Linked DNA regions of Danio rerio. The protein of the gene in region 5 interacts with the protein of the main gene of each other region in a pairwise test. Links are inferred from orthologs where the notes say so. Each region holds a gene or a part of one and is shown on either strand. Other genes may lie near its edges.

Region 1 (4,255 bases), on a different chromosome or scaffold from region 5:
ATATATATTCTTATTATATCCTATATATATATATCGTAATATTTAAATTCTTTTTTTATGTAAAGATATTTGCGTATTGCTCTACATCGTGTGTGTATTAAGCAGTGTGTAAGCTAGGCGCGCTCTGCGCCAGACAATAGACCGGCTTTGTTCTGGTCTAAAAAACAGACTTATAGTTTCTCAAAATAGCAACGCGCCAAAACACGCCTGCTTTTTTTAGACCAGAACGCCTATGGGCGCACATATAAGTGCAAATGCATTTGCTATTTAAACAGCGTGGTGCAACACCTCAAAACGACTCTTGCGCCAAGCTGAAAGTAGCAAATAACAATTGCATTGCACCACATTGCGCCGGGTGTATGATAGGGCCCTACGTGTACCGGAAGGAACCGGGTGTTTTAAACAGCTCATATTTTCTGTTGTACTGTTCTTACGGTATATGTAATTTTGTGTGTGTGTGTGTGTGTGTGTGTGTGTGTTTTTCATGACTATTTAATTTGTTTTTTTAGGGCAACATTATCTCCAGCAGCAGAAAAAGCTATCATTTAAAAAACAAGTCACTTATAAACCAACATCCAGCATGCTGTAGAGCTGAGCAGTACAGTGACTTTACTGTATATCCAAAAATAAAAGATATGCCAAGTTGCCTTTTAAGGTTGCAAAGAAATCTGTGTTTTTGATACTAATGAAGACAGCAAAAGGCAATGATTTATTCTAATTATTTAGCCTGACATGTTCACTGCTCCAAAATATTAGAAATACTTAAAAACAAATAGAATCTGTTTAACAGGCAAACGTTTTTTTCTTATCCAGACATGTGAAAAGAACAGATTTTAGAGCAGTAATCACAATACCGTGAAACCGTGATCATTTTATCCAAGGTTATTGTATCGTCAGAATCGTACACCGGCCCATGGCTAACAGAAACAGAGCGTACCGTTCACACTGCCTGCAGAAATGGATGGTCACTTGTTTGGGGATGCCCTCAGAGATGTCCACCTGAGTCCTCAAGCAGGAGACACACATGTTGGCTGGGTTTGGAGGAATGGGAACGCCACACGTACAGCAAAGACTGAAAAAAGCATACAGATAAACAGAAATACAGTAAGACAATGAGGGAGAGAGAATTTCGAGATTAATGCGGTTTCAGCTTCTTTAGCTATGTCATGGCAAAAACAAAAACAGATCAAGTTTACCACATTTTATAAATACCACTATATTTATAACAATAAAATAAACACAATTTCTATAGTTATAACAATATCATAACAATTTAAATTCAGCAATAAATAATACACAAGCTAAAATATATAAATAATAATAATGACAATATGTACAGTTGAATTCAGAATTATTAGCCCCCTGAATTATTCGCCCCCGTTTATTTTTTTCCCAATTTCTGTGTAGCTGAGATTATTGCCTCGTGCTGCAGGATTTAGGAGGTTTGCTGAAGGTGCAGCTGTCGTGCAGTGAGGGGTTTGTGTCTTTAATAATCTACGATGGTTTGTGTTTATTGAACATTAATAATGATTAATAAATCAATATGAAACAGTCCCTTAAAAGTCACGTCTCGTCTTCAGTTACGGGCTCAGGCGCGCTTAGCCCAAGTGAACTGCCCAAGTGAACCGCTAGGGCCGGCCAACTGAAATGTGCCTGAGCCCAATTCAGCGCACACGCACTTCTCAAATGATCCGGGAAACGGGCCTGGGCACAGTCCAGATAGCAAAGTGTGAGTGTGTATGAGTGTTTCCCAGTACTGGGTTGCAGCTGGAAGGGCATGCGCTGTTTAAAACATATGCTAGAATAGTTAACGGTTCATTCTGCTGTGGCGGCCCCTGATAAATCAGAGACTACACCGAAGGAAAATGAATGACTGAAAAATGCCTTACATTAAAAAAAAAGCAATATGTAGGAGCCAAATCTCAACTGATGCTGTTGATTAATAATTCAAGTTTATTTTTGGTTCGGCAGAAATAAAAGAAACTCATAAACATCTGCGACCACTTGAGGGAGAGTAAATACTAATATTAATATAACAACACAGTACTTATAAAAGTTGAATACTCACATATTGCCGTGGCTGCTGGATGGCGGAGCCTGCATGTACTCCATGACTACAACAGCAACAACACAGACCCCAAACATCATTAATCACACTCATAATATATTGAGTTTGTTTTATATTCGCACATTTGTTTCCTTTTAACGCTCCCTACATTGTTTATCAGGATAAACTTATAATATTGGGTCTGAAATCGCATGTAAGCGCTTCAAAACAACATTAGCATTATTTACTGACTGTCAACAGTGTTGTCCTTTAATAGTCATTCGCTGCTGATTTTCCTATTTATTAGAATTTGCAAGTATGCTTTTCTGAAATTAACGCTATATTATTAGAAAGAACGTCTAAGAGTGCGAATATAAAACCAACTTCACTCCATATTCATGACATTAACAATATAAAGCATAATCAGTCTAACAGAACTGGTCACCACTGTCATAAACTTAAAATAATGTATCCACTGACAGATAAACACATACACCATTGCTAACTTACAGATCACTCTTTGTATGTATGTATGGGTGTAATTACGTGTGAAGTATGGTTGTGAGAAGACTATAACGCTCTCGATATCTTCGCCAGTATTGTTATTACTATACTATTATACACACAAACACTGGATCGATACTCACTGTGTTGTTAAATCAGCGTTGATCGACTCAACTAAATGAACATCTCCTCGCGAAAATCACACGAACTCCGCACGTGTGTGTGTGCGCCTGTTGATGACGTCACGACACGTTGTCAAAAAAGACCCTTGCAGCTGACCGTCTTCCGTTTCGTTTTTCTTATATTTTTCTTTTGTTTTTTATATCATCTTTGCAGTTTTTGTTTTGTCTGTTTTTTCTGTATTTGTTATTTGTGAATTCTTTAAAACAATATAAATAAACAAATAACAACACCCGATAGCTGTCCGAACTGCGCCTGAATGTAAATGAGAAAAAACAAACAAACAAATGGTTATTCTCCGAGGGAACTGAGTGAAAATCTTTCTAATTTTAAACCCCAGTAAAGCATGAGCAAGGATAATAGTCTGGTTTTGACAAGATGGCTCGGTAAATACAGGGTAATTAGGTTCAAATGGGTGATTTAAAGCTGCAGACAAAACCCAAAAACATAATGTTGCATAATCTTTGAGATTTATAAGTGGTGATACTTTGAGAAATAAAACATGACAGCAGCAGTTTTTTATTATTCAAACTGAAATACATTATAAATCTAAAAAGAGTTAGCCTAGTAGGCCTATTGCAGAAATATACCTAGTTATACCTAGTACTAATATACCTAGCACTTTTATATACATAGACATGGTTAAAAAAAACATATATATATATATATATATATATATATATATATATATATATATATATATATATATATATATATATATATATATATATACACACACACACACACACACAATATCACACAAGTAGTAGTGTAATGTGGCTGTGAATCAGCACTGGTGGGAGGCATGCGTTGGTTTGAGGCGTCACGGTGGTGCAGTGGGTAGCATGTTCGCCTCACAGCAAGAAGGTCGCTGGGTCAGTTGGCATTTCTGTGTGGAGTTTGCATGTTCTCCCTGTGTTTGCGTGGGTTTCTCTGCCCGGGTGTCCCCCACAGTCCAAACACATGGGCTATAGAGGAATTGATTAACTAAATTGTACGTAGTGTATGTGTGAATGCAAGAGTATATGGGTGTTTCCCAGTGTTTGGTTGCGGCTGGAAGGGCATCTGCTGTGTAAAACATATGCTGGATAAGTTGGTGGTTCATTCTGCTGTGGCCACCCCTGATTAATAAAGGGACTAAGCTGAAAAGAAAATGAATTTATATATATATAAAATCATATATAAATAACTGCATATTAATAATTATAAACATTCTATTATCTATGTTTCCTTAATTTGACAGCACAGCCGACATGCATAGTGTTTTGAGAAAATTAATTAAAGTCAGCATGAAATGGAGGAATGTCTTCTTTTCCGCTATTGTGACACTTCTGAAGGTGAATGGTCCATTTTGAGGATGTTGTTTGGTGTTTTTCTGGACATTTCTGTAATGTTGCTGGCTATGCCTATGCTATCCAAGAGGATCTGCACACTGGTGGTGGTGTGGAGAGACCCCCCTCATGATTGTGAAAGTGCTTTGGGTGTATGACCATACACATTAAATGCGCTATAGAAATACACATT
Region 2 (3,500 bases), on a different chromosome or scaffold from region 5:
AATCTGACAAGACAAAGCACACGAGCATCACTACAGTGCAAGGAGGACCATAGACTGATTTCACGAGGCGGACATTTTAAACAGCGAAATCGAGGCTGCGGTGGAAGAAACCTGGAAGTATCGTCTGAGTCAGAGAGGAATTTTGTCTACCTGACTGTATATCTCATCAGCGAAGAGAAAGTGACACAAATTTACCATTTCACCACGTTCCAAGTGATCTGAAGATCCGTTCTGAATGAATAGTGAAAATAAAAAGGGATATCAAAGCTCATTTTCAGCTAAGTTAAGGGAAATGAAACTAGTTAGCTAACGTTTTCTTTTCCAAACGCACGTTTTAGATGCCTTTTATCAACCTTAAGTTAATGAACGGATTCTTTCACTATATAAGACAAAACTTCAGTACTGAAACGTAAAAAAATATTTTAAAAAGGCCATATCCCATTAACATTTAAGCACTGTTGATGGCGTTCTTAAACACTGCTGATTTGCCATGGTGTTCACGTGCTCAACAGAAATGACTGTGATTGGCCGTGAAGGTCATCAGTTCACTGATGTTTACCGAGTACAAACACAAACAAGCAATCTACTGATAAATCGACCGATCTTCACGGCTTGAAAACGCTCCAATGTCTATCTGTGTTAGCAATCGGTGAAGAGCGGTGAACTGATGACCTTCACAGCCAATCACAGTCATTCCAGTTGAGCACTGGTGAACACTATGGCAAATCAGCACAGTTTATGAACTCGGCGGCGCTTAAATGTTAGCGGAAATGGACCTTTTAAAACTTCAGTACCGGGACAACACTGCTACAGACAACACGAAGGTGTGTTACAGAGGACTGCATGGTTTTATTGCTCACCGGGTTACATAGACTGAAACAGGGAAGCGTCCCCATGGTGTTTACCTGCTGCCATGAACTGAAACCTAGGAGGACACTTACTCTTAAAGAGATTGTGATGTTGTTTGATGCCTAATCTGCTGTTAATTGTTTAGATTAAACTTACTGCATGATATTAAAGTGATGTTTACACCATTTCTGCATTTTGCAATTTATGGCAACAGCTGGAGGTTTGTAGTTCACAGCATGTTGCTGCAATGTTTACAGTGCTGATGCTATACTCCCGGGTTCCTTCCCACCGCTGCCTCGCTTTCGTGTTTTAAAATGGCGATCGCCTGAAATAAGCATATAGCCTCGGGTTACAGAGATTGACACTCACAGATGGGACGGGGTTGGGTGTGGGGAGGAGTCCGCCTCCTGGAAGCAATCCTGCAACGGCATTGGCCGGAGCAAGCAGAGACATAGCCTTGGACTCATCAGGAATCACTCCTGCAGAACAGAAACACACAGTTAAAGCACGCCGCGGCTCTCCACGCACACACAGACAGACCCACAAACTCAAACTTTCTTTTTTTTTGCAAGATAATGTGCACTGACATCAGTACTCACTTTGCCAGAGCAAGCTAACACATGAGGTCCCTTAACAATAGCATGAAGTGCACAATACTACAAGAAAAGAAATGACACTAGACACACTGCCAAGATGTTATCACCTGAACTTGATTTTTTAAGTCATGAACCAAATGTAAGCAAGCACAGCCGGATCTCCACTGGGATGTGCTCTCAAGTTTCATAAGTTGTATAATGAACAAGCGATTCAGGTCGGCTGCTTCGCTATAAAGCACACAGAGACATCAAGATAGACAAAACAGAGTTTATGATTTGGGTGTCAGCATTAAATGACAGTTCATTAAACCACTGATGCTGTGACTTACCAGAACTAACACAAAAATAAAGACATCAAGGGGCTTTTGCTGGTATTCCAGAGCTAAAGCTGCCTTTACCTTTGGTAAACTTTGACACAGATATACAACAGAAAGGACCTCTTCCAGCAAAAGCCCGTTTTAAACTTAACTACAGACTGTGTGTGTGTGTGTGTCAAAAAGTGCTGAAGAGAAAAATAACTAGAGTTAAATGACAAATGAACGTTTGGTGAGTGCATGGAGTCCATTGGGTGAACGCCTCTGAAATTAATACTTCACTCCAAAGACACAATCATCACTGACACACACACACACACACACACCAGAGAGAGAGAGAGAGAGAGAGCTGAGAGAGAGAGATAGAGAGAACATATGAGAGAGAAACAGGACAAGCTGCAGAAGACAAAACTGTTGGGTGGCATTTTCTGCTGGGCCTGGTTTACAGGACTTGCAGAACCAGGGAAAAGAACTGGAAAACACAACAACAAAAAACAGAAAACGACCGTTAAAAAGCTTCTCAGGCCTTTTCAGTCATGTGGAGAGGAACAAAAGAACATTCTCAGACTGTTTCTTACTCAAAAAGCTGAAAATACTGGAGGGAGATTGGACAAATCATCACATACGCGCAGGGAAAGCCCTGCGTTCAGCTATCATTACGCTCTTGCCAAGCGCTGCTTCTCCTCACATATACATGTGCAAAAGACTCATGCAGAAATGCGCTACATCTCATCTTACCGTGGATTATCTCGTGTCTGATTAGCATGCAGTTCAATCAGAGGATTTGAGGCTAAACATTAGTGCTTTGCAAGAAAAGACGGATCGATCTTTGTCTGTGAGCTCAATTGAATTGAATGGAGACACAAGAGAGGATTATAGTTTACAGCAGGGAAACACACGTGGGCCGCCGCTTTTATTTGTCTACAGGGCAGCAGAGGGTCACTCTCAGACATCTGCCGGCTCTGCAATTGCCTTGTTCACTATAAAAATCACACACACAGATGACAAAGAGAAAAGTTTAACAAAAAAAATGAAACTAAACTGGAAAGGCAATGAGTTAAACATGAGCTCGCCTGCCACGCAGGGCGTCTAATCCCCAACATTTCTCAAATATTCACCTGAGTGCATATACAGTCTTAGGGCTCATTCACACTGAACACGTCTTTGCTTTTAAACACACGCGCGGGGAAAAACTAAACTAAAGACGCAGCATTAAAACACAACTTTAAACAAACTTGCAGCAGCAGTCCCACTTCTCAACTCTTCTGATTGGTCCACTGCTTTGAAACTGACATTAACAAGCAGCGCTGCATCTACAATTTCAACTGCTTATAACTTGACAAAAAAAGAAGAGTAACGATCACACACATCCATCAAGTGCGCCTTTACATCGAAAACACAAAAAGCAGAGCACTTTAAAAGAAACGCGTTCTGTGTGAATGTCCCCATACTGCGTTCAGGTGTGTGTGACGGCCGCTGGAGTTCACTGCACTAAAGCCGTCATCAACACTGCGAAGGGATTGATTACGTGTAACATTTAAAAACAATAAAGGAGTGGCACAAACCTTCAGCAAAGGGGACGACGATCAGCGCTCGGTCCACGAAGACTGTGTTCGTCAGATGCTGCGATACTCCGACTGACTCCGGCTCGTGGAACTTTACAAAACATACACGTGAAGTCACAGGCAAGGGAGAATCACTGAAAGAAAATATAGAAGCTTTTGCAAGGTGTACACACACA
Region 3 (3,055 bases), on a different chromosome or scaffold from region 5:
AGCATCCACTTGGATGACAGGGTGGCAGCCACAAGACAACGGCGCCAGTGCGCTTACCAAACACTAGCTATTGGTGGAGTGGAGAGACAGTGATAGAGCTAATTTGGTGGATGGGGATGATTGGGTAAGGGTCGATGGAAGGAATTTGGCCAGGGCACTGTGGTCACACCCCTACTCTTTACAAGAAGTGCCATGGGATTTTTAATGGCCAGAAAGAGTCAGGACCTCAGTTTAACGTCTCATCCAAAAGACGGCGCTCACTGAACGTTATGGTGTCCCCTTCAATATACTGGGGCATTAGGACACAGACCACAGATTGAGCGCACAGACCACACCCTGTTGGCCTCACTAACACCACTTCCAACAGAAACCTAGTTTTCCCATTGGGTCTCCCATCCAGGTACTGACCAGGCCCAGCCTTGCTTAGCTTCAGTGAGTAACCGGTCTTGAGCTGCAGGTAGATATGGCTATGATAATTATGTTTTAGATTAAATCTGAGGGCTTCCTTATTCTCTATATACAGCAATGTTCCAGACTCTTCCAGAAGAAGTTAGAAAAATCATTCAATACAGGGCGCACATTCATGTGTCAGGTGTCACATTCATATTACCTCGGATGCACCAGTGCTTTGTTTCAAACAGAGGAAACCAATCACAGGCATCAGAGGGATATTCGTCACCACACAGTACTTAAAGATGTGTGCAATATACTGACACTTAACAGAAGAAGCCATGGAATAAAGTCCTTGTTTTTGTTTTATATGTGCACAAAAGTATTCTTTTAGTTCTATAATATTCTGATTGAAGCTTTGAAGACATATGGTATGTTTTGAGAAAGTTTTGGTCCCTTTCTTGACTTTAAACAAGCCAGGAACATTGATGTCTATGGAAGATGAATGAGCTCTCAGATTTCACCATAATTTAAAATCAAAACTTGTGTCCTAAAGATGAACAAAGATCTCAGGGGCTTGGAATGACATGAGGGTGAATAATTAGTAAAATAATTGTGTTTTTGGGTAAGATAACCCTATGATTCTGTTCCATAATTTTTGTCAATTAGATTTTTTGTGTGATGATAGACTTGTTATCAGTCACTCACCAAATACAAAGTTGTCAGGTCTAAAGATCTGTCCAAAGGGCCCTGAACGCACAGAGTCCATGGTACCAGGCTCCAGATCCACTAGAATGGCTCTTGGCACATATTTACCTCCTCCACGAGACATAGAGAAACAAGAAAAAAAGAGAAACAGACCAGCTCAGTACATATAGGAAACTAAATGTTTGAAATGAGATATTGTAGTATCTGCATGCAGGTTTAGGGCTTTAAGATGTAGGTTGAGAATGTTTAATTCTAATATTGACCTCTAGATGTCACCTCTAGTTGACCTCAAGTTTAACCTCAACATATTTAGTGAATAGCTCTGGTTTAGGCCTGGAGATTTACAAGGGACGCTCATATTAAAATTATTATTAATTAAATTATTATTAATTAAATTATTATATTAAAATGTAAAATACATCTATTGTATGTAACGTCTTATTTAAAGACCATCATTTTATAAATGGTTCAAAAACTTTGGAACTTTGGAAATGTTAATTTAATAAAACATTTTATGGATTCACAAACCAATTTACTTTGTTTGAATCCCATTTTATTAAACTACTCTAGTAATTATTAGATTATGTAATATTTATTTACATATTATTTAAGTTATATTTTTATTATGTTTTATACTACTGTAATTAAATGTTAATAAAGATGAAACAAATATGATGTTTGTATTATTTGTAATAATATCTGTATGACTGAAGTAAAAAAAAAAATCAGAAATGGACCATCCAACTTAAGGAGTTAACATTGCTATTGAACGGAATCATTTAAATAATTGCTTTCTATAATTAAATTGCAAAATACATGCATTTACATAGCATATCTATTGTCTATTATGTACTTAACGTTAAAATGATTAAAGTCATATTACATAATTAGCAAAAATCTGATTCAGAAAAGTTTAAAAACTTAAATGAATCAATTAAAATAAATAGAACTGATCTCGTATCACATATTCATGATTTTCAGCCTTTTGCTTTAAGAACCATTTGAAAACTTTCCATGTATTTCTCTAAAAATAATTATGAAATAGAAATATATTTTCTCCTTTATTGGGATGAACTTCCAAGTGAAATGCTTGATTAAAGATTAAAACTTAAAGATTATAATGCATTTTATGTTATGACATAACTAATAAAGAATTGGTAACAAATCCTTTAAACAATCATTAAAAAGTAAAAAAAAAAAACTTTTGATTATCAATACTGTTCATGCTAATAATATACTTTCATCTTTCTTTATACCAATGTCTTAAAGTACCTGTAGCCTCATTGTAGTAGACACTGATTCTGTCCAGCTGGAGGTCACTGTCTCCATGATAGGTTCCGGTTGGGTCGATTCCATGTTCATCGCTGATCACCTCCCAAAACTACAAACAACACACAGACATTACAGACATCTTCCCGACTGCACATACACACAAAAGTATGCATCAAATCTATCCTATTAGGCACTGAATGTTGAGCATCAGTATAAACCAATCGTTAATCTGTAAACTGGAATTGGTTTCAGCTGAGTTTTACCTCAGCAGGAGGCCTTATGGACATTTAAATCATTAATTCTAGGTTACTCTCCATGTGACCCTAATCTGATAGAAAAGCGCAGAGATGGAGGTCGAGATAGACGGATATCAGCAAGTGAACGGAAAAAGAAAAGATTGTTCTTGCATGGGATGTTTATTGAAAATAATTGTTTTGAAAGAATGAGGCCAACAAACTAGAATGCGCTGATGGACACAGGCCTACCATGACCCCGTTCTGACACTCTTGCCTATCAGAACCTGTTAGCCACATTTCTGCTGTCAACACATAATATCATCATAAAAAAAACCTAGCGGACACATGCTGTATGAAATCATTCACCTTCAGTTATTTGACCTTTATAACAAAAAGAAAATAATGTAATTACTTTAATCATTTTATAATTTTTTTTGCCAATTATTCAA
Region 4 (4,008 bases), on a different chromosome or scaffold from region 5:
TTTTGCTTTGTTTAACATTGCACGCAATATAAACAAGTGTTGTTGTAATCTTTTGGTATTGATAATAACCATGAAGTGTAATAAATAAATAAATAAATACAGACAATGATATAACAGACGTGATAAAACTGTAAATAATCCAGCACCAATAACTATCTGCTTGACACTCCAACATAGTAGGTGGGGGCATTGCAATTTAAAGGGATAGTTCATCCAAAAATGAAAATTCTTTCCATAATGTACCATCACTTATACACCTTTGATTTGTTCCCGAAACAGTTTACAGAGTATTTTTGTTTTTTATTGTTCTGTTGAACACAAAAGAAGACACATTGCAAAATGTTGGAAACCTGTATCCACTGACTTCCATAGTAAGAAGAAGAAATTGCTATGGAGGTCAATGGTTTTCAGTTTCCACTGAATCTTCAATAATTCCTCATTTGTGTTTAACTAAAGACTATAGACCTTTTTCTTCATTGCTGCATGGAGGGCACCATAGTGACCAGCGCCTTCCGGTAGTGTGTTTACTGTTTTCAGTGGCTTCAAAGTGTTTTTTTTTATGCAAAACATTAATTTAGAAAGAAAGATGTGTGTTAAAGTCGCTGTACTTCTGTAAGATGAGGTTCAAGTGCAAGAGAAAAACAGATGCTGAAATATAGCGTCAGTGTATGCCGCGGCTCTTCAATGCACACACTCACAATCAATACCTCACTGCATTTTAAAGAGCAAACCATATTACTGGCATGAAACTGGCAGGTATGGAAGGGATGCAATTTCCAAAAATTACCAATAAAAGTATGCTACTGATACTTTTCTGGCTGATTTGTATGTTGATTCTAATCTGGAGCAGTTATAATTTCATTTCATTTAGTTTGTGTTGTGTAGTATTTACCACAGTATGTGTTTTTCAGTCATTTCAACACGCCACTTTGTGTTCACTTTGTGACACTTATTCAATCAATGTGTTAGTGGGACAGTACAGCAGGCTACGTGTGTGCGTGTCAAACATTTTGGAAAATTACGTTTATTTAAGTTATTCATTTATTTGAAAGAAAGAGTTTCCCCATTCAGACAGAATGCCCGAGCATACTGCCAGAGAGGCGTTTCCCAGATGGTCGCCGAGATGGTCAGTAGTAGCTACTTTGTAGTTGCCTGTCGCTCTGGGTGGCGACATGCTGCAAACAGGTCTATGCAGGTCTACAGCACAGAGAATACAATCAAGCTGAGATAGGATCACATGAGCTCTAATGGTGCACCTATTGGCTGTCGCTCAAGAAAGTTGAAGGATTCTCAACTTTGTTGCATCGCTCATGCACACCTGGTCACCAACGTTCACTGTCACTCGCATAGACAGAGGTCACTGGAAGTAGCTTGCACTCCGTTAAAATGAACGGTCGTTTGTCGCTTTGCTGTTGCAAGTCATTCATAATGTAAACGAGGCTTTTAAGGGACTTCAACATAACAAAAAAAACGCAAATAAGTTAAAGGCGAGTAAACGATGGCATAATTTTTATGGATGCTGCTATATTATCGATATCCTAAATGATTTCGTAGTAAAACATATATTTTGTGACAAGTTTGACTTGACATAATAAAATTTGCATTAAAAAAAAAGGTGCAAATGTATGAATGAATGTCTGCACAATTTCTTGTTGACAATAACAATATCCAAAACAACTGACTTATTCATCATAAAAGTTAAAATATATTTGATTTATTAAGAAACTACTATAATTACAAATATATGAATATTTTACAAGTGCATTAACTTCCTTATTTGTGAAGTTAAGTTTACAATTCTAAGCAAAGTTTTTTAATAGTCGGTAGTCTGCTTTTTAAAACTGCTTTAGAAGTCAAACCACATAACAGATCAATTAAAAGTCTCAACAAAGAGTCTGACAGAAATTTCAGACATACTCACATAGGACAGCATGGCTTTGAGCTCGTCATCACTGCGAACTGTGATTCGGTCACCAACTTCATCCTCATCTGAAATAAAAGCGAACTCCATTATTTACAAGCTAATTTCCACAAGCATTTTTATCCTGCACTGTATATTTACTCATTTGCATGAACAACTCTTTAGTTCAGGACAACAGTATTGCAAAGAAATGAAGTTATGTTTTCCTATTTCTTTTTACTCTATTAGCTATACTGATTGCATTTAAACTTGAGTAACATAAGTAAAATACAGCAGCAATACTTACACTCAAATGCTGTGACTGTGGCTTCAGGCATGGCATCTCTGATCGCGGCCTGTCAAAAAAGGGAATCTCAGCAATCACACATTTGACTGACAGCTGTCAATCAGCACCACTATTCGAAAACACATAGCAAAAAGCACATTTTAATAAATGGCATGCTCCACAAATGGTTTCCCTCTTTAAAAAGTCATAAGATATGAGATGAAAACTGGCTGTGAGTTAAATTAAAGCAGCTGCTCACCAGCAAATCATTGAAGTTGAGATGTGATGGACTGTCCACTGGCGAGTCCATGTCCCCCACCGGCGTCTTTATCCGGATGACGATTCCCTCAGATTCCATATTGCTCAGGTTACTCAAAACAAGTAAAAGCATAACAAAAACACACCGACAAACATAATCTTGGCTTTTAGACCGGATTTTCAGACCAACAGCAGCTGGAGAGCTGGCTAGGAGGCTAACAGTTTAACGTAGCATGAGCGCATTTAAAACACGACTGACGCAGCGAACATTCCGTCTAATAAACTCGCGACATGTCATTCCAGATGTGCTAAAGACTTTCTGTCTGCCTGTTAACTGTGTTAGATTTTATCAGTAGTTATCAAACTGTCAACAATGAAAGTAAAACAGAGGAAGTTACGCGGAAGTATATCGACGTTTACCCGGAAGCTGAACCTCTACTAGAGGCGCATAAAAGCCTCAGAAAGCAATCTTGCGAGTTGTGATAAATATTTTGGAGCTGTTATGTTGCTCTCCTGAAACTATAAATCATTTGTTTTGGGGTTGTTCTGTTACTCAAGCTTTCTGGGATAATATTAATGTGCTTATTTCCCAAACGCGTTTTGTAATCTTTACTAATTTTTAGATTTTGTTAACGATTTTTTGTTAACTTTAACATCACATTCAAACAAGAACTGAAATATAATTAAACATAATTTAATTGTTTAGATAGAAAGCAATAAACGTATGTTTTTATTACTTATTATATACAGAAAAGGTATATTTATATTATTTCTTAATGTGCTTTATCATAATTTAAAGGATTAGTTCACCAAAAAGCTAAATTTACTCACTATTTGCTCGTCCTCGATGGATTCCAAATCTTTATGAGTTTCTTTCTTTTATTGAACACAAAATATGTTGAAGAAAGCCTGTAATCATTACCTTCCATAATAGGAAATATATACTATGCAAGTCAATGGTTACAGGTTTCTAACATTTTTTTTTAAATATCTTCTTGTTCTTCCTCAATTGTAAGTTACTTTGGACAAAAGCATCAGCTAAATATCTCAATTTAAAATTTAAATAAACTTATGATGAAACTCAGATTAATTTTTTTAAATATTATATTATTCTTTTTTTTTTCAACTATTGGGGTGCGGCCGGGTAAGGGGCCCTACAAGACAATGTGCCCAGGGAACTCTGAATTCTTAATCCAGGCCTGGATCCAAGACCTGTGAATAAATTATGCCAAGCTATCCATAATCCTGGACCAGGCCGTATTCTGAGCTGATTCTGTGGTGGTCATGGAGGAGCGGAGAGAATGAGACTGATTCCTGAAAGACCCCAGTGACAGACAAGTTGATCCAGTGGGCCAACTTGAACACTGCCAGTGACCTACTCACACCTGCAGCTTCTCCGTGATGGAAATCCAGAATTCTTAAGCCTCCAGCGCCTAGACTACAGCTCTGCACAAGAAGTTTGACCAGAGGAGAAATGGTCATGCCCACCTGAGCCTGGTTTCTCTTGAGGTTTTTTCCTTTACTTTCGTCAATTGGTGAAGTTTTGTTCCTTGTTTGGGACTAG
Region 5 (3,500 bases):
AGGGTTTTATGAGGTGACTGAAAGCTGGCTGTCAGATAATATTTAAAGTCCTCCTTTTAAGTTTGTCAGATCACACACACACACACACACACAAAAAAACAAGTTCACATTATTCGGTCATGTCTGTGAACATAAACAGTAGCATATGTATCAGTATTTTAGATCTTGTTTTTTTCAAAGTTTGAAACTCTTCATAACAACACAGAGCTAAAACAACTCAACAAGATCTTGCGGTTTTAATTGGAATTATTTAAATTAAGAAATTGTAACATGATCTCTTCAATAAGGTAAACAGGCTTGATGCCTATAAATGTCACTCACCACGTTTGATTCGTCCGTCACGTGACAGGCAGCCATGGGGCTGGACGCTCGTCACAAATATGGGCAGTTCCCCACTTTTGCTGCCCCGTCCTCCTGCCACAGTCATTCCCAGAGACTCATGAGGCTCCTTCTTCACAGTGATGTGTTTCTCTTTACAGTTCACACACTGGGAGAGATCCTGCAACACACACTCATATTAGAAAAGCATCAGAGCATCAAGTCTAAACGTGTCTCAAAGGTATGGATAAAGAAAAAGGAAGCCCGTTTCTAAACTGACACTCTGATCGGCTCTCTGTAGAGTGCTGTTCGTCATCCCAACGGGATCAGCTGTACTTCCGAATTGATCTCATAATAGATCCGACAAGGAGTAATTAAGGTTGTGGTCTGAACTCATGGAAAACTGGAGGCTACCCAGATGCTTCGTAAATAGGGCTCCCTAATTACGTCTCCACAATGCTAAAATAGATTCTGCAACACAAACAGACTTGGCCGCAAGGCGTGTGTACTCACTCTCTGGGTGGAAGACCTGGCAAGGTGCAGACTGGGGACGGGACTTGGGGTCGCAGTACTGGGAAGTGGCGGGATGTGATCATGGCTCCAAATGTCCCTGGTCAAGGTGGAGCCTGTGTGCACCGCCATAGTCTGCTTGCTGGACCGGCTAATCAGCAGATTGACTCTTTCTCCGCTAGCCTATAAAGATGACAGTAGGCGGTCGTATAAATACCTAATACTCTTATAGAGGTGGCACTGCATCCAACAAAGACGGTCTGCTATCTGCCAGTGCTATTCTTAATAACACTTTAGTTGCCCTTTCTCTGTGATCGGGGCAGCCAGATGGGGAAAAAGCAGCTCACGTAGACATAAAGATACTATCAATCACATTACCCTCTGAGCAGGGCAGCAGAGTGTGTCCTAATGTCCTAAACAGGCACTGAGATTTGACACCAGCTGTTTTATAAGAGGAATATTTAGTAGAAGGAAATATTTATCATTTTAAAAAGAAAATATGTGTTATGCTATTGGTGGGTAAAGTGGTTGCCCAAAAAAGATGCTGTGTGATCGCTAGGGAGTTGCTAGGTCGTTTATTGGTTTTCCAGGCTGTAGATATGGCCTTTAATTTAGATATATGGATGTTTTTTGTTTAAGATTTTGAATATATTGATAATCTTACTGTTAAATTGCTGATATTATTGATTTTTTAAAGTATATATTTTTATCTATTTTTGCCATCTCAAATTGTTAAAAATTATTTTTCATTAAAAAATATAAATAATCACTAACAGAATTTAGAAACATAGCCTTAAAAATTATCTGTAAAAGTGTATAAATTTCTAAAACAAAAACTGGAAAAAAAAAAAAATATATATATATATATATATTATAGGAAAATACACATATACACACCCGCACATATCAAAAACACACACACTTATTACTTTAGGTTACCTTTCCTACAATCTCTGCTCACTTGATATATAAAAATCCAAATATTTAACCAATTGCAAAATGAATATCCATTTTTTACGGTACATTATAAACTCACCGGTCCCTTTATTAGGTACATATTACTAGTACCGGGTTGGACCCCCTTTTGCCTTTAAAACTGCCTTAATTCATCATGGCATAGATTCAACAAGGTACTGGAAATATTTTGGTCCATATTGACATGATAGCCTCACACAGTACTGCAGATTTGTCGGCTGCACATCCATGATGCGAATCTCCCATTCCACCGCATCCCAAAGGTGCTTTATTCTATTGAAATCTGGTGACTGTGGAGGCCATTTGAGTACAGTGAATTCATTGTCATGTTTAAGAAACCAGTCTGAGATGATTCACATTTTATGACATGGCGCATTATCCTGCTGCAAGTAGCCATCAGAAGATGGGTACACTGTGGTCATAAAGGGATGGACATGGTCAGCAACAATACTCAGGTAGGCTGTGGTGTTGACACCATGGTCAAATGGTGCTAATGGGCCCAAAGTGTGCCAAGAAAATATCCCCCACACCATTACACCACCACAACGAGCCTGAATTGTTGATACAAGGCAGGATGGATCCATGCTTTCATGGTGTCGATGCCAAATTCTAACCCTACCATCCAAATGTCGCAGCAGAAATCGACTCATCAGACCAGTCAACGTTTTTCCAATCTTCTATTGTCCAATTTTGGTGAGCCTGTATGAATTGTAGCCTCAGTTTACATTTTTAGCTGACAAGAGTGGCACCCAGTGTTGTCTTCTGCTGCTCTAGTCCATCTGCTTCAATGTTGGATGTGTTGTGTGTTCAGAGATGCTCTTCTGCAGACCTCAGTTGTAACGAGTGATTATTTGAGTTACCGTTGCCTTTCTATCAGCTCGAAACCAGTCTGGCCATGCTCTTCTGACCTCTGGCATCAATAAAGGCATTTGAGCCCACAGAACTGCCGCTGGATATTTTCTCTTTTTCAGACCATTTTTTAGAGCCATGTGATTGGCTGATAAGAAATCTGTATACTTTATAAAGTGGCTGGTGAGTGTACATCTGTAATGTCTAAATTCACTTAGAGCACTTTAGCTTTTAGTATTCTTTTGACCTCAAAAACACAAACCTCTATACACATTTAATAATGGCTATTAAGAAGTTAGTTAAAAAGGTTTCTTTGACCTGACCTCTCCCCCACACACATGCTTTTTCTCTTTACCTGTATAATCTGAGCTGCCAGCTCTGGCGTGCCATGTCTCAGGTCATGCTCATTGACAGCCAGCACCCTGTCGTTGCTGCAGAGTCGCCCATCTTTCGCAGCTAAGCCTCCCTCCAGCAGATCCAGAATAAAAACGCCGGCTTCATCTGTACGCCGCACAAGCTTGATGCCCAGCTGCTCTGATGATTCCCTCTTGTGCAGGGTGATGCGTATGCTGGCAGGGCTGCCCTTGGGTGATGCAGTTGCTGCAGGTGGCCTGGCAGAGCAGCGGCGCTCTCTTAAAACCGTCAGCTGAAGGGTAGCACAGGGACGGGCCAGTGTAGAGCGAGCAAAGTTATGGGGCACGTTACTGATGTCTACATTGTTCACCTGCACACAGAAGAGTAACATTAGGCTAAGAGTAAATGAGTTTCATCTATGTGGAATGCTTAAACGGAAGTTTTGTTCATTTATTTTCTTTTTGGTTTAGTCCCTATATTAATCAAGGGTCACC
Region 6 (3,500 bases), on a different chromosome or scaffold from region 5:
TAGATAAATAGATAGATAGATAGATAGATAGATAGATAGATAGATAGATAGATAGATAGATAGATAGATAGATAGATAGATAGATAGATCATAACAAGAACTGCTGCTTAATTGAATGCATGTAATAGCGACACCCGGTGGTTATTTATTGAATTGCGTTCATTTTTGTATAGCGGGCCAGATTCTATTGATATTTATAAAAAGCCTCGCGGGCCGCCACAAAACTGATTGCGGGCCACAGATGGCCCGCGGGCCGTAGTTTGGACACGCCTGTATTAAAGTGATAGTTCACCCAAAAATCAAATGTACTCACTATTGACTCACCCTCAAGGCAGTTCCAAACATTCACAAGTTTTTTTCCTCTGTTGAACACAAAAGAATATATTTTGAAGAAAGCTAAAAACCTGTAAGCGTTGACTTTCATAGTCAAAAATCTTAAAAATATCTTCTTTTGTGTTCAGCAGAATAAAGAACATCATAAAGGATTGAAACCTCTTGAGGGTAAGTGAATTTTCATTTTTGTGTGAACTATTCTTTTAACATCTGAAGTAGCTCACATTCTTTAAAATATCTGCATCTCTGTTTAACAGAAAAAAAGAAACTTGAGCAGGTTTGGATGTGGATGGTGAGGAAATAATGGCAGAATTTTCACCTGTTTTTGAACTATCCCTTTAGACACCTTTAGAAAAAATATAAAACAACATTTAACACCAGGAGAAGCAAACAAGTAAATAAGTAGGTAAATAAATAATTGGAATATGAAGGAAAGTTGTGACATGTGGCCAAGTATGGTGACTCATTATACTTGGAATTTGTGCTCAGCCTTTAACTCATCCAAGTGCAGTGAACAGACACACCATGAACACACACCTAGAGCAGTTGGGGGTTCTGTGCCTTGCTCAAGGGACTCCTCTTAGCCATGGTATTATAAGTGGTGAGAGCACTGGTTATTCACTCTTACCACCTACCATCTCTGCCGGTGCCAGGACTCGAGCCTGTGACCTTCACAAGTCCAACTCTTTAAACATTAGGCCATGACTCTTCCCATGAAGTGTTTTTGTGACTGTATTTGCACATGCATTTCTCCTAGGAATGAAGCTGTCTGTCTGGAGAGAGCAGAAGAGGACTCACCGTGTGTCGTCACACTTCAGTGTTCACCCGGCTCTGCGTCTGCGATCAGCAGTCTTCAGGTGGTCAGTGAAGCCCGCACTATTGAAGTGTACTCGCTGTCTGGAGAATACTGCGGCACCTGCCGTGGAGAGGAAGTTCAAATATCACACACTAATGGGTATATGTATGCGAATGCTTAAGTTTACTTTACTAAACTTACTCAATTAAATCCTAATCATGTCATGACAAACTATATATCAGTGGAAGGTCTAAGACTTTTAAATACATATTTCATCACTTTTTTGTTATGTAGGAAGAGTAATAGATTAAAAAATATATATAAGGTCAATATGGTCACCAATGGAAACTGGATGTCATCTGGTCCTGATAATTGATCTTGCAGCCAAGCCAAATAAAATCTTACTAAAAGCTTCTAATTTGAAATATGAGTGGTTCAGATAATTAGATTTTCTGCCATTTTTCAAAACATAAAATACATATTGTATGTAATGTATTCATAAACAATGAAGGCACATAACTTTTATTTTAATCGACATTTCAACTTCTGCCTTCTGTCTTCTTTAAAATAAGACCAAGCTTAAATCTATTGACCAAGGCATTGAAGACATTTAAGTTGAACGTCATTTTCATATGTGCAAAAAGTGGGGGCGACAGTTAAGTTGTTAAATTATTATTATTATTATTATTATTATTATTATTATTATTATTATTATTATTATTATATCATGCTCTTATTGATATAGGCTATGTTTAACAACTACCAATTTTTTTTTCTCAAAGTGTAATACACATAGAAATACACTTCTGATGTAACATAATATACAGATCTCAGATTTCATGAACTTTTCGCTCTTATTTGCATGCAATTTGAAATAATACATTTTTTAAATAGTAAGCTAATTTAGTTAAATAGCAAACAAATACACACATACACAGCTAATGAAAAAAGACAGCATGTACATTTTTACTTTTAATAATTTCAGATTTTTTTTTTGTAATTAAGCAACTTCAGACTTTTCTTGCAAATTTAAAATAAAAAAGTTGTCATTTAGTGTTTGTCTATTTTTAAGCACAACTTCAACATTTAGACGTTAAGAAAAAGTAAAGAAATCAATTTTTGCTGGAATAACCCTAATTTTTTATTACACTAAATCAATTATTACCAGTTGTCCTTTTCTGCTCAACATTTTCATCAGTTAAATTTATCAGACTGTTGTTGAGTGCAACATATTAAAATTTTACTTAAACTCATATCTAACAAATCCAATGATTTTTCAAGTAGTCTTTTAATTCTTCTCCGAAGCTGTAATTACTTTGAATTTGCCGTTTTTATAATGCAAATATCTACAGTTGAAGTCAGAATTATGAGCCCCCCCTGTTTATATTTTCCCCAATTTTTGCTTAACGGAGAGCAGATTTTTTCAACACATTTCTAAACAATAGTTTTAATAATTCATTGCAGATTTTATTTGACTCTTTTATGGAAAAAAGAGCAGTTGTGATTTTTAAGATAATACACATCCCCTTTACTTAGCATTTGAATTTCTACCATCAGGACGCAGGTTTAGAATTAATAAAGCACGAAGAAATGCCTATAAAAAGTCATTTATCCCAATGGCAGTTGTTGTTCTAAACCGGATCAATGTTTGTAGTGGATGAGGTGGTTACCAAGAATGATTTGCAGTATTGTGCATGGGGCTAATTTGGTTTTTAAACTTTTAACTTATGTTGATGTCTTGATAAGTGTGATTGTATCGTAGTTGTATGTTTGTAATTGTTGTCCTAAATCCAGTGTTGAAGAAAAATTTCCTTTCTGTGTCAAGCAGAACGGACAATAAAGTTTTAACTAAAACTAACTTATTTCTAATAACTGATTTATTTTATAAATTTGCCATGATGACAGTAAATAATATTTGACTAGATATTTTTCAAGGCACTAGTATTCAGCTTAAAGTGACACTTAAACGCTTAACTTGGTTAATTAGGTTAACCAGGCAAGTTAGGGTAATTAGGCAAGTTACTGTATAAGGATGGTTTGTTCTGTAGACAATAGAAAAAAAAACTAGCTTAAAAGGGCTAATAATTTTGACCTTAAAATGGTGTTTAAAAAATTGAAAACTGCTTTTATTCCAGCCGAAATAAAACAAATAAGACTTTCTCCAGAAGAAAAAATATTATCAGGCCTACTTTGAAAATTTCCTTTCTCTGTTAAACATCATTTGGAAAATATTTGAAAATGAAAAAATAAAAAATAAAGTGGGCTATTAATTCAGACTAGTTTTTGTTATTTTTAGTTTTTGTCAAACAAGAAAATGTAATTAATTATATTCCACCTCACAAAATGAATTTGTTTTTTGGGTTTTCTTTTA
Region 7 (2,640 bases), on a different chromosome or scaffold from region 5:
TGTCCACAGCGACTTCCAATTGAGGAGGCATTTAGTAATACAAAAAGAAGAGGCAATACAAATGCTAATTTTACAAAAGAACTGTTTGTGCTCAGAGAACTAAGTGCTAGAGTACGGTGTGTGTTTTATTAGAGAGAAAAGAGTGTGCTTTGTCAAGCCCACTTACCTGTGTGAGCCACACTTAAAATTGCATAAAGTTTTGAGGTTATCGTGTGGATAAATGACAAGGCTTTAGAAAGTGACTTATATGTGTGAAATATGAAAGTGATATATCGTGCAGCTCTCTAACATACATTATCACAGAATTAGTTCCAAGCATATCGGTGTTCTAAGCACTCACTGTGTTGAAGTACTCCACTCCATTGGCTGTAAAAGCACCAGCGATCTCCTCTGTAGTGACCACGCATGCAATGGGATGACCGTTGCCCATCGGTTTGCCCATGGTCACAATGTCAGGGCAGAAATCTTCACCCTCAAGCTGAAACGCCCAGAAATGACTCCCAACACGACCAAAGCCTGTCTGAATCTCATCTGCCACATAAACCCCTCCTGCTTCATGAACATATCTGAGGGTAAAGCAGCTTCATTTACTGGTTTCCTGATAAAGTATAAAGATACTTATCAAATTGTAGAAAAACACTTACTCTGCTACTCTTTTACAATATCCAGTGGGGAAAATGATTTGACCTCCAACGCTGGGTAAAGACTCAGCAAAAAAAGATGAAATCTGTTGATAAAATTAATCATTTATATAATAGGTTATCCAATAATGTACATTGTCATCATTTGCTTTTTCCCAAACTTGAAATACAATAAACATCAGTGGGGTCCAAATCAGCATTTTAATCCAATTTAGATACCAGTTTTTAGTTCCTTAGACACCAAACCCTGTCCTGTTAACCAAACTCTCAATGATCAACATCCATTTTTGTAATAAATCACTCTTTTTTTAAAAACTAAACAAGTTCAGGCAGTTAGACATGATTTGCAAATCGTATACACTCTTAATGCAAAAATGTATATACATTTCTACAGATTAAAATTAAAATAGTTTTAAACGTTGATGCTATTGTCTTTTGTTACACAACGGTAAACACGGGCAGCAAAAGTTTACACAAATAGAACACAATTGTCATTTACACACAACACAAACTTTCACTTTTTTCTGAAGATGTGATCAAACCGGCTGTTAGGAGTTATGTTGCATTTACTATACTTTTTTTTTTGCAATTGCAAGTTCAGGCTTTAGCCAGCCTGGTAAAAGGGGTGGTTCTTTATTCTCAAAAAAGTGGACCTTTTTGCAGTTATACGCCTCATTTTCTATTTTTCACTTTTTTTTAGCTGAATTAGCTTGTCGGATGGTCATCATAACCACTCTTTTTGATGTACCGAAAATATTTCCTAAAGATTTAGAATAAAGAAAATTGACACGTATATTTTTTAAAATACAAATTTATTACATCATAATATCAACAGAAAACATTTTTAAATTAAAAACTGTAGCCTATTGTAATTTATTAGGCAAATAACAAACCGGTCAGCACTTTCAACTTTCCATTCAAGAATTTGGCCATTTAAACAAAAAATATTTTCAAACAACAACAACAACAATAATAACAATAATAAAAACAGTAATAATAATAATAATTTAGAGCTTCACAATTTTCCTAGCCTCTTTTCATGGATAACAACAATAGCCAAAATAGTATTGGAATAAATCTTAATATGGGCTGCTTTTGGTGCTACACACTTTTTTTATTCGTCATGTTTTCTTTCAAGAATAAGGTTTAGAAAAAAATATACTTGTAAAATATTTTCTCTATTTAAAAACAATACAGTAGCGAAAGATGACTTTGCTTACGTCATATATTAGGACTCTTGAAAAATAACTATTCCAAAACGGAATAACTGAAGTCACACCAGGATTACGTTCGATCTTAAAGCCTTTTGATGGGTTATTTTTACTATTTATGATGGCATAGCAGTCAAAATAGGACGAATGAGCTCATGAATGCGACAAATTCTGGAACTTTGTCACTGAGCGGTGGGTCTTTCGAACCTCACAAATCTTCCCTGGCTACAGGCCTGTAGTTTAAACATTTTTCTATAACTACTGTACAGTACATATTCTGGAATTTCTCCAAGTGTCTAATGAATGATCTGTAGGGTTTTTTTTGTACAGGTTTTTTTTTTTTAATCTATAGTATTTTGTTCATTTTAATTTGAAAGTTTTTGTAATTTTGTACATAATTTGGTAAATAAATGTTATTTTATATTTTATTATTTTTATTAAATTTAATTAAAATGAGATGTATTTTTTTGGTGAAAATTCTAGCTGAAATAAAATCTGATAATTTTTTTTATTGTTTCATTTAACTTCAGTTAAATCTAATAACCATGGACACCACTGACTTTTATTATTCATTCATTCATTTTCTTTTCGGCTTAGTCCCTTTATTAATCTGGGGTTGCAACAGCGGAATGAACCGACAATTTATCCAGCATATGTTTTAAGCAGCGGATGCCCTTCCAGCTGCAACCCATCACTGGGAAACACCCATACACACTCATTTACACACATACAGTGCGGACAATTTAGCCTACCCAATTCACCTATACTGCATGTCTTTGGACTGTGGG

Evidence for each region.
Region 1: the proteins of lnx2a (region 5) and nmd3 interact in a two-hybrid assay, tested with the Homo sapiens proteins (3 studies listed by BioGRID and IntAct). The link is inferred for Danio rerio from reciprocal best matches to the Homo sapiens genes LNX2 and NMD3.
Region 2: the proteins of lnx2a (region 5) and srsf11 interact in a two-hybrid assay, tested with the Homo sapiens proteins (3 studies listed by BioGRID and IntAct). The link is inferred for Danio rerio from reciprocal best matches to the Homo sapiens genes LNX2 and SRSF11.
Region 3: the proteins of lnx2a (region 5) and tubb5 interact in a two-hybrid assay, tested with the Homo sapiens proteins (3 studies listed by BioGRID and IntAct). The link is inferred for Danio rerio from reciprocal best matches to the Homo sapiens genes LNX2 and TUBB.
Region 4: the proteins of lnx2a (region 5) and map2k5 interact in binary tests that used the Homo sapiens proteins (3 or more experiments, as listed by UniProt). The link is inferred for Danio rerio from reciprocal best matches to the Homo sapiens genes LNX2 and MAP2K5.
Region 6: the proteins of lnx2a (region 5) and si:rp71-19m20.1 interact in binary tests that used the Homo sapiens proteins (3 or more experiments, as listed by UniProt). The link is inferred for Danio rerio from reciprocal best matches to the Homo sapiens genes LNX2 and C10orf88.
Region 7: the proteins of lnx2a (region 5) and phykpl interact in binary tests that used the Homo sapiens proteins (3 or more experiments, as listed by UniProt). The link is inferred for Danio rerio from reciprocal best matches to the Homo sapiens genes LNX2 and PHYKPL.

What each region holds. Positions count from the first base shown.
Region 1 is NC_133190.1:1,691,723-1,695,977, reverse strand, and holds the start of nmd3 (60S ribosomal export protein NMD3), read right to left. Parts: upstream 2,801-4,255; 5' UTR 2,695-2,800; intron 2,115-2,694; 5' UTR 2,113-2,114; coding exon 2,069-2,112; intron 1,073-2,068; coding exon 938-1,072; intron 1-937. UniProt on the Homo sapiens protein: Acts as an adapter for the XPO1/CRM1-mediated export of the 60S ribosomal subunit.
Region 2 is NC_133186.1:47,581,100-47,584,599, reverse strand, and holds part of srsf11 (serine/arginine-rich splicing factor 11), read right to left. Parts: exon of another isoform or gene 3,459-3,500; coding exon 3,325-3,458; intron 1,329-3,324; coding exon 1,219-1,328; intron 4-1,218; coding exon 1-3. UniProt on the Homo sapiens protein: May function in pre-mRNA splicing.
Region 3 is NC_133191.1:10,605,102-10,608,156, reverse strand, and holds part of tubb5 (tubulin beta-5 chain), read right to left. Parts: intron 2,480-3,055; coding exon 2,371-2,479; intron 1,210-2,370; coding exon 1,099-1,209; intron 1-1,098. UniProt on the Homo sapiens protein: Tubulin is the major constituent of microtubules, a cylinder consisting of laterally associated linear protofilaments composed of alpha- and beta-tubulin heterodimers.
Region 4 is NC_133182.1:34,126,989-34,130,996, forward strand, and holds the start of map2k5 (dual specificity mitogen-activated protein kinase kinase 5), read right to left. Parts: upstream 2,801-4,008; 5' UTR 2,578-2,800; coding exon 2,446-2,577; intron 2,317-2,445; exon of another isoform or gene 2,257-2,316; coding exon 2,208-2,256; intron 1,990-2,207; coding exon 1,922-1,989; intron 1-1,921. UniProt on the Homo sapiens protein: Acts as a scaffold for the formation of a ternary MAP3K2/MAP3K3-MAP3K5-MAPK7 signaling complex.
Region 5 is NC_133199.1:25,535,086-25,538,585, forward strand, and holds part of lnx2a (ligand of Numb protein X 2a), read right to left. Parts: intron 3,377-3,500; coding exon 3,008-3,376; intron 1,012-3,007; coding exon 832-1,011; intron 500-831; coding exon 322-499; intron 54-321; coding exon of another isoform or gene 43-53; exon of another isoform or gene 1-42.
Region 6 is NC_133187.1:11,910,024-11,913,523, forward strand, and holds part of si:rp71-19m20.1 (ATPase PAAT), read left to right. Parts: intron 1-1,090; coding exon 1,091-1,294; intron 1,295-3,500. UniProt on the Homo sapiens protein: ATPase that regulates mitochondrial ABC transporters ABCB7, ABCB8/MITOSUR and ABCB10. Regulates mitochondrial ferric concentration and heme biosynthesis and plays a role in the maintenance of mitochondrial homeostasis and cell survival.
Region 7 is NC_133190.1:25,913,279-25,915,918, reverse strand, and holds part of phykpl (5-phosphohydroxy-L-lysine phospho-lyase), read right to left. Parts: intron 728-2,640; coding exon 645-727; intron 567-644; coding exon 341-566; intron 1-340.